2 linked regions of the Arabidopsis thaliana genome follow. The protein of the gene in region 1 interacts with the protein of each later gene in a pairwise test. Each region holds a gene or a part of one and is shown on either strand. Other genes may lie near its edges. The genes, in order: TOPP5 and AT3G15800.

The links.
Region 2: the proteins of TOPP5 (region 1) and AT3G15800 interact in a protein complementation assay, tested with the Arabidopsis thaliana proteins (one large-scale study listed by BioGRID).

The regions. Positions count from the first base shown.
Region 1 is NC_003074.8:17,241,000-17,246,021, forward strand, and holds TOPP5 (type one serine/threonine protein phosphatase 5), read right to left. Parts: upstream 3,283-5,022; 5' UTR 2,994-3,282; coding exon 2,789-2,993; intron 2,267-2,788; coding exon 1,707-2,266; intron 1,622-1,706; coding exon 1,448-1,621; 3' UTR 1,438-1,447; intron 1,131-1,437; 3' UTR 703-1,130; downstream 1-702. UniProt on the Arabidopsis thaliana protein: Serine/threonine-protein phosphatase that possesses phosphatase activity toward para-nitrophenyl phosphate (pNPP) in vitro.
Region 2 is NC_003074.8:5,342,815-5,347,694, forward strand, and holds AT3G15800 (Glycosyl hydrolase superfamily protein), read left to right. Parts: upstream 1-2,174; 5' UTR 2,175-2,236; coding exon 2,237-2,749; intron 2,750-3,173; coding exon 3,174-3,491; intron 3,492-3,805; coding exon 3,806-4,174; 3' UTR 4,175-4,333; downstream 4,334-4,880. Other genes in the region: MBD11 (methyl-CPG-binding domain 11), read left to right, coding at 395-457, 871-1,572.

The sequences.
Region 1 (5,022 bases):
ATCTGCTGCTGGATCTTCTCCAGTTTAAGTGTTCTTCCAGGATTTAGGGTTTCAACCAAATGTGCTCCAGCAGGTTCTCCATTAGGGTTGTCTCATCGTCATTGTTTGCAATGTGACAGATAAAACAAAGCCCTTTAAAAAAGAATACAGCTACAACTGCTACTAACTAGTGTTTAGAGAACCCTCGGTTTTACTAAGAATCCATGAACAAAAACGTCCTACAGTGACAGCAGTATTCTGATACATACACATAGAGTATATATACACTAGAGGATTTGTATCTACTCTGACATGTGAAATAACAGAGAATGAGAACAAAGCAGAGCAAAAGTTGGGTTGAAAACGTTTGCTTATTATAGCCTAAAATATATATTTGCAATTGCATTACTATGTGTATACTTTCCATTTGTTTTGGTTAGTATAGCCTAACCATTCGACACCATATACTCATAGTAAAACGTTTTCAAAGTGAGAATGGCTCTCTATGATACTTTATTAACAGTTTATTAACGGTCAGAATAAATTTTATACGTTGATTATTAACATTTTAATTTAAAGTGTTGATTTCGTAGGGCATGGTGATCTGAATATTTCAATAACGATAACATAGACTATAGAGTATGTAATGAATTGAACTTTAAAAGCATCGCCAGCGTGGGGTGATTAGAATATAGTATTATCTTTTTAGGTAAATATATATGTTAAGGAGTGGTCGTATACATGCGATGATTGTGGAGTCAATTAGAGAAAACCACAGCCACAATTACAAATCTGCTGCTAATTAGTGTCTAGAGAACCCTCTGTTTTAATAAGAATCATGAACTGAAGCATCCTGCAGTGAGGTTCTGATACATACATATAAAGTATTATATACACTTAGAGGATTTGTATCTCTGACATGTGAAAGAACAGAGAAGGAAACAGAGCAAAAAATTGAGTTGAAGAAACAAGATCATATTCAAAAGAAGTGGCAGAGATGATATAACCATGTAAATATATATATTGTTGCTTTTGCAACTTCGGAGACTACTCGTGGAGGTTCAGAATTATCCGCCACCAACATCCGTCGTCGCTTTTTCTCCTCCCATTCTTCCCATAAGATTTGAATCAGGGTTATAACTTAAGAAGGACTGCAAAAGCAAATTTGTGAACTTGTAAGAGCTCAGACGAGCAACAACGCTTTCAAAGCTCAAAAAAGATGAAACATGGAAACTGCGAAACAAACTTTTAAAAGCTCTTTGACTCGCTGTAAGTCGAATGAGCAACTATCAGAATCGAAAATTTAAGAAACATGAGATTCGATGAAAGCTAGTTATGGACTTATTATGAGATGCATGAACTTTAACTATAATATTGCAGATGAAACTGATATAGCTAGCTGAGATTCTGAAACAAAGAGGAAGTTCAACGGTTTTTGAGAAACACTCAAATCTGTACCTCTTTCTCTTCAAAAGAACCGCGACCTCCGATCCACAGGCTTAAGAATTTGGAAAGAGCACATTAAACTTTCGTCGACACTCATCAATGCACCCGCATTGTCAAATTCACCACAGTAGTTTGGAGCAGAAAACATAGTCACAAGCTGTCTATCAGCAAAGAACTCATACCCATCCTCTACAACCTGTGGGAGCATTATAGGTTCTTGAGCAGCAGATTCGATTTCCCAAACAAAAAAACTAGAGGAAACATTTATACAATGTACTAACCTGGTGGGCACGACAGACTAAATCCATATCATTCTTTATTAAAAACTCAGCAACTTTGTCAGCACCAAAAGTGTAGGAGACACCACGATCATTCATCCCCCAGCCTTTGACATCTTTACTAGGATCAGACCAAAGAAGGTCACAGAGCAAACCAGCGTCTGGAACATCAGTTGGACGCTCTATGTTCTTAATTTGTTCCACATTGATCAACTCAGGAGATAGTCCACCATGCATACAAAGTATCTTTTCATCTATGACAGCAGCCACAGGGAGACAGTTAAAAGTATCGGTAAACACTTTCCAGAGCTTCACGTTGAATCTTCGTTTACATTCGTCATAGAATCCGTAAATTCTGTTAATAGATGCACACTCATGGTTTCCTCTTAAGAGAAAAAAGTTTTCAGGGTATTTGATCTTGTAAGCAAGCAGAAGACAAATAGTCTCCAAACTCTGCTTTCCGCGGTCAACGTAATCTCCTAAGAATAAGTAGTTTGCTGCAGGAGGGAAACCTCCATACTCGAAAAGCCTCAATAAATCTGAGTATTGACCATGAATATCACCTGCAACAATACAAAGACAAAAAGCTACAACATCAACCTAGGTATTAACCAGAAACCGAGTCTCTAAGATTTCAAGACTATCAATCGCCTAAAGACAAATGTTACACATCAACCTATGAACCCATAAGAACCATAATTAATGGTGTTTGAATACAAGCAGAGAAACCAATGCATTTTCATAAGAAAAGATCAAGAAGAACTTGCTTCCTATCACGTGACCATACAAGCTCTATTACCATTAGCATTCTAATGACTAAACTAGATTCTCTTACGCAAATTCCAAGACTCCATGAACAGGGTAAGCCCAACAAAGACATCTATTATTAAGTGACATCAATTGGTAAAAAGATACATTGCTCCTTTAGCTTAACATTATTCAACCTCATGAGGTCCAATTTAATGATCTAAGCTCATCTCCTCACAGAAAAATGCAAACTTTTTTCATTACACAATCATGAAAATTGAAGAATCTCAGATCCCAAACAGGAAAAAAACTGATAAATCGAGAGAGAAGTAAAATACCGCAGATCTTAACAGGGGCAGCGAGCTCAAGAAGACAAGGCTGTTGAAGAAATATCTCTCTAGAGACAAAGCAAAGCTGTCGGATCTCAGAATCGTTGAGCATAGCTTGTTTGGTCCCAGCTTTAGGGTTTCGGTAATCAAGTAAACGACGAATGATGTCGTCGAGAACAGCAGGGTCCATGCTTCCCTGCCCTTGTTGCGCCATTCACTCACTTACCCACCTCCCAAGTTTCAATCTTTCGGATAGGATTCGATCGCCAAGATAAGAAAAATAAAAAATCAAATTTTCAAAATCTGAACCAAAAAAAGTTGTCGCCTTTTTTAATGATTTGTCTTCCAGATTTGATGATTTGTTTTCTATTTACAAGTAATTTCTTTGATGGGTGCTTTTGCAGAAGATGATTTGGCAATCTCTGGTTCTTCTTTTCTCCATTGGGCAGAGAGAACTAAAAAAGCTTCTCTTCTTTTCTTTTTTTTCGTTTTAGATAAATGACACATTTTCATTTTTTTCATATATATATATATATATATATATATATATATATATATATATTTTCGTATCGACGTCGATTTCTGCTGTTATTATTAGGTCAAACAAAAAAATATTAAATATTCACAAACTTCATAAATATATTCACAAAAAAAGGTTTATATAGAATTCATGGTTAATTTGTATAGATTTTCTTTATAATATTAGTGGATCCCATAGGGACAATGCCATGGTCGACTTGTAAAGTTTAATGAAAAAAATCTATAAAAGAAAATCTCATTAAACATTAATTACTAAATTTCTTGTTGATGTTATAAACTTTTTTTAAAAAAGAGTTATTGTAAAAAGTACATCAATCGAAAACTATAAGCTGCCAAGTGTGCAATTTTTAAGTGTTTTTGAAATAATACAATTTGATAGTATTAACTGAATTTATTTTTCTAAAGAATGTAATCGATTTTTATTAAATTTTGGAAGAAATTTAAAATAAAAATGACTAAAAAAGTAAGATTGTTATAAGAAATTTTTTGCTTAATAATTAATTTGATGTTAGAAAAAAACTATAATTAGTTTAATCTTCAAGTTGGTAACAAGTGTAAAAATTTAGAAACATAACATATTAGAAAATATTTTCATTTAATATTACAAAAATTAGAATATATATCCATATAATTGACTACATTTAGAGTTTTTTTTTGGACAAATTAATTTTTTCATTTTTTTTTTAAAAGTTGAAGACAAAGCACAATTTTTTTTTTGTTAAAGGGTTTGAAGACAAAGCACATTGGTTTGGCCGAGAACTATATATAAACATATGTGTAGAGCTCCAGTCTTCAAACATTTTATTTTCTACAAACATTTTTTAAAATTTCTAAATTTGTTAAGAGTTTAGTAAAATAGTGATTTGGCTTGATATGGATCAAAATAAAATGTTAGAGAAAGTTCTTACAAACACCGATCTTTCCCACATGGGTAGGTTATATTAACCAAAATTGCAGATAGAGAAGATACTACGCACTATAGAAAATTTTGTAATGCCTCCAAGTGGTCTTCAAGTGGAAGTTTTAGAGAATAACAAGAGTTACTGGGTAACAATAAAAATAGACCATGATAAATATTTTATGTGCTCAGGGTGGAATAATATAGAAGCAAGAAGGCTCAAAACAGGCGATAAAATTATATTGTATTTACAAGATAACAAATTCATTTTTACTATGCATTGATTCTTTATTGTTTATTTCTTAAAAATGTTATCTCTCATTATTCTATTTTAATATACCTATTCTAATATTTTGTCTTAATGATAATATTTTGGATGGGTTTATGTATTTTATAACTACAAAAATAGCTTATCAATTTAAATGAGATCTAAATTCTAAATTATGGGTATGTGAGTATATGTGAGTATAAAGTTTGGACTATGCATTGATCAAAAGCTTTTAATCGAAGGATATGGAAGTTATCGATTAGAAAGATGAGGTTTTACTATCTTCCTTATTGTTTCTCTGAATGGTTTCTCGGCGCATAAATATATATAATGGATCACCAAGAATTTTCATGTTATTTTGCTCATTAGAAATCACCAAGAATTTTCATGTATAGCATTTCCGAACTTAGAATTTTCTAATATGAAACAATTTAGAACTAAAAGGCCTTTTGGGTTGTGTCCAAAAAGAAAAACCTCACACGTTGACAATGTAAAATTCCATGATTTATTATAAACTCTTTCATGCATGCAATTGGT
Region 2 (4,880 bases), about 12 Mb from region 1:
TAACACCTTTTGATCAAGGCTTTAACGTGTCGTTGTTACCATAGAATATAGATGATAGAGCGCATTTTATATCACTGGATATAGACACGTGGTTAAACTTAATTGGGTTGTTAGTTAAGTTGTTGTGCTACCTCCAAGTGACTTTATCATATACTCTGTGTGTTTCTGGTAGTAAAAAAAGGTCTAAAACCATAGTGTTAAGCAAAAGAGAAAAAGAAGAGCAGAGCAAAATCCCTAAAATTTTAAACTCTGTTTTGCTTTCCGACAATCAAACCCTAGGTTGTCTGTTGCTTCATTCGTGTAAATTGTTAAATTTTTTGTTTTTGTTTTCTTGGCATTTTGTGGTTGATCTTTCTAATTTGTTTTCAGGGGTTGCTAAAGGGAAAGGAGAGAGATGGGTGGTGAAGAGGAAGTTGTTTCTGTTGAGCTACCAGCACCTTCTTCATGGAAGAAATTGGTTTGTTTTCTTTGTTTCATACAAAGACTTAGAATTTGTTGTATATGTGTAGTGCTGCAATTACCAAATCTTTTTCTTTGAAGACTCTGAATATGGTAGCTTTTGGTGGCGAAATGTTAGTATAAGTGTAAATAACTTTATGTTGATTAGGTGATTCAAAGGTTATAGACTTAGAAAAAGCCACATTTGATTGTGTTTGATCTACTATTTCTACTTCTTTGTTCTTGACTTAATGCCTCATTTTGACTATGTTTGATTTACTTCTTACTTTTCCCGATTCTTATGGATTTTAAGCCACTTGTAAACATTGTTTAAGCTACATTAAGGTCTTCTTTAGAATTTAATCTTTCAGCGTTTTGAACCTCAAATTTTCATATTTTCAGAGGTTTACATTAACTGACTTGTTTTTGCAGTTTTACCCCAACAAAGTGGGTTCAGTGAAGAAAACAGAGGTTGTGTTTGTGGCTCCAACGGGTGAGGAGATTAGTAACAGAAAGCAGCTGGAGCAGTATCTCAAATCGCACCCTGGAAACCCCGCGATCGCAGAGTTTGATTGGACGACTAGTGGGACACCTAGGAGATCTGCAAGAATCAGTGAGAAGACTAAGGCTACGCCGTCACCAGATAAAGAGCCACCCAAGAAGCGAGGTAGAACCAAATCTCCAGTGTCAAAGAAAGATGCAGAAGGTGAGAAATCAGAGGGAGGAGGAGAGGAAAACTCTCATGTGAAAGATACTGAAATGAATCCTCCAGAGGGAATCGCCGAGAATGAAAATGTGACCGATAAGAATGGCTCCGGTGAAACTGAGAGGGTGAATGATGCAAAAGAAAACATTGTTGCTGAGGAAACTCCAAATGCGGCTCCAGTTCAAGAAGAGGGTGAGTCGATGAAGGAGAAAGCTCTGGATTCTGTTGATGATAAGAGTAAGGAGACTGACAAAGAAAAAGATACTGGCTCAATCGAAAAGAACTCGGTAGATGTAGAGAAGAAGACCGTTGAAGCTAGTGATGAGAAGAAGAATTCTGAAGCTGAGACCAGAAACCATGAAGAAAATGGTCTGACCACAGAAGCTGAGGGGAAAGAGAAAACAGCAGAAGGAGAAGCTACCGGATAGCCCTGTTCTGCTCTGCTTCTGTTAGCTCATGAAACTGTAAGTCAGTTGTTTCTATCAATCTATTGAAGTATATGGTTTCCTTTTTGCTTCCTACTCGGAGCATTATCGCGGTGAAAGGTGTTGTTAGGCTGAGATATGTATTATGAGATATGTGCAAGTTCTGTTTGGTTGTAAGGTTATGTAGAGGATATATTATTGACTCTTCTCTAAAACCATTGCAATCACTAGGTTTGATGTTTTATCTTTCTGCTACAATCTTTAGTCATTTTCGTATGGATGGACAATCAAGTTATGAACAAGTCAGATTAAAGATCCACACATAGATTAATCTTCTAGATTTCTTTTTATCATTGGTTCAATCTTCATTTGAACGCCATAAAATGGGAAACCCAAATAAAAAAATGGAAGAAAGCAGAAGAAGACAAGAGGAAAAAGGTAAAAGTTTTGCTTTGAGAGTAAAGTAAGAATCTAATGCAAAGAAAGACTTACAATGTTAGTTTTCTTATTTCCTTGATTCCATCCTTTTGCATGGTCCCAGGGACGAGGGTTTAGAATCTTTCTATTAAGGAACAACTTCATAGTATAAACTCTTATTGTTCCCATTTTAGGATTAAAAAAAAAACTTGCTCTGTTTTCAAAAACATCATTCGAGACAGTATCTCAAATGGGTTATTGTGTTCCTCTTCGAAAGTCTCCAACTTCACATATGGTTTTCTCTTCTTTCTTCCTTTCGTTTCTCTTAGTCTTCTCTATACTCTCTTCACAAACGGCCGTAGCATTCATCGGAACATATGGTGTAAACTACGGTCGCATAGCGGATAATCTTCCGTCTCCTGACGCGGTAGCAACTCTCCTTAAATCAGCAAAGATTAGAAACACCCGTATCTACGATGCTGACCACTCTGTACTCACGGCGTTCCGCGGGACCGGGATTGAAATCATCGTTGGCTTAGGCAACGAGTTTCTCAAAGACATTAGTGTAGGAGAAGACCGAGCCATGAACTGGATTAAAGAAAACGTCGAGCCTTTCATACGAGGCGGTACTAAAATTAGCGGTATCGCGGTGGGTAACGAGATTTTAGGTGGCACCGATATCGGGCTTTGGGAAGCTCTCTTACCCGCAGCCAAGAACGTTTACTCCGCTCTTCGCCGTCTCGGTCTTCACAATGTCGTCGAGGTACATTACCTTAATCTTGCATACCAAACATGTCGCTAAAACCATGACATCTCGAATTTGCTTATTTTGTTTGGAAAAAGTTTTTTTAAAAGATTGCACGTTTAACCAACGTTAAATCTCATAAATACATTATTTTTTTCCGAGTAAAGTTGAGAATTTTCTTACAGACAAAATGATCAATCATTTTTTTGTAACCCAAAATGATTCAGTTTAAATATATAAATCTATTAACCTAGTAACAGAAGTTTGTATTAATGATATGACCATGTCGATCATAATCCAGCTAAGATACGTTAGTAGGCATGCATCAATTTGGATTTCTCTTTGAATTTTTTTCTTTTTAAATCATCTCTAATATTTTTAGGACATCAAACTTAGAACTTAAATGATGATTTAGCCTAAAACATTCAATATTTGTTTATAGGTGTCGAGTCCACATTCAGAGGCAGTGTTTGCGAACTCGTATCCACCGTCTTCGTGTACGTTCAGGGACGATGTGGCGCCGTTTATGAAGCCGTTGTTAGCGTTTTTTTGGCAAATTCAGTCGCCGTTCTACATTAACGCCTACCCTTTTCTTGCATATAAATCCGACCCGATTACAATTGACATCAATTACGCCCTTTTCGAGCACAACAAAGGCATCTTGGACCCTAAAACCAAGCTTCATTACGATAACATGTTCGACGCCATGGTCGATGCTTCTTATGCTGCTCTCGAAAAAGCTGGCTACACAAAAGTCCCGGTACGTCCGATCCTTATTACTATCAACCCTTTTTTTGTTTGGTTTCCATTAACATTTTCCCTTTGTTACAAGCTTTGCAAAGTACAAACGTAAATGTCAAACTAGACTAAAGACATTTTTTTGGGGTCAAAAACATGCATTATATGAGTTTCAACTGAATAATTTGACTCGTTATATGCATTTTTATTTTTCTATCAGTAACATGCATTTTTTATCTTTTGCTATCAGTACTACATGCACTAAGCTACATGTCTTGTCGTACGCGGATTTAAAAGCGTCATGCGAACCTGATTTAATCATTTAATTGTACCTAGGTGATTGTTTCGGAGACGGGATGGGCATCAAAAGGCGATGCAGACGAGCCTGGAGCGTCGGTAAAGAACGCGAGAACATATAATCGGAATCTTAGGAAGCGGCTGCAGAAGAGGAAAGGAACACCGTACAGACCAGACATGGTGGTGAGAGCTTACGTGTTTGCTCTTTTCAACGAGAACTCGAAACCAGGTCCCACTTCCGAGAGAAACTTTGGCCTTTTTAAACCCGATGGTACTATTGCCTACGATATTGGCTTAACCGGACTCAAGTCCTCTTCTGCCACACGGTATCGTTTTAAGTCGTCTCTTGTTTCCGCTTCTGCTTTCACGTGTCTTCTTCTTCTTTTTCACCGGTTGTTCCACTTGTGAGATTTGTGATTTTTTTAATTGGTCCTTTGATTATCAAGTTAACCCGTAATTCTTGATTTGCTTGTGATTAGTCACTTTTAACTTTAAAATGTTAATATACGAGCTCCTAATTACTTTGTGTAATGTCTTCTTGAAATGATATTGTTTAGTGAGGGTAAATGTTGGATTTTTCTACATTATTCTCTAAATATTTCATCCCAAGTCAAAAACAGTTAAAGAAAAAGTTTATTACATAAGCTGCATATGTGAGTTTTTGATGGGACTCAATCACATGAAAACATCACTAGCTACATAACTATTTAAATGTTGTGTACTCACATAAATTTTGATCAAGTATTTGTTCTAACTATAAAATTATTTTATTTGTTTTGTCCATTGTCTACTTGGTATATATAGCTATCAACCATGTATTTACGTGAGCATGAAAATTTTGATTACGTTAACGAATCAAATCTAGAGAGTGCATTAGTCAAGATATATCTTCTCTCTTTATTAGATGCCTATATAGTTTTCTTATAAATCTTATTCGACCACCTTCTATTTATGTATTAATATTCCTACGCACTCTCTGATCTTGTGTCAACTAACACTAATAAAATTATTCATGAGATTCAATTTCCACTTGGCAGTAAACATGTGTACGATACACGTTACATCTCTCCTATATATTAAAAAAGTTAGTACTTCGATAGAAACATTTTGCAAC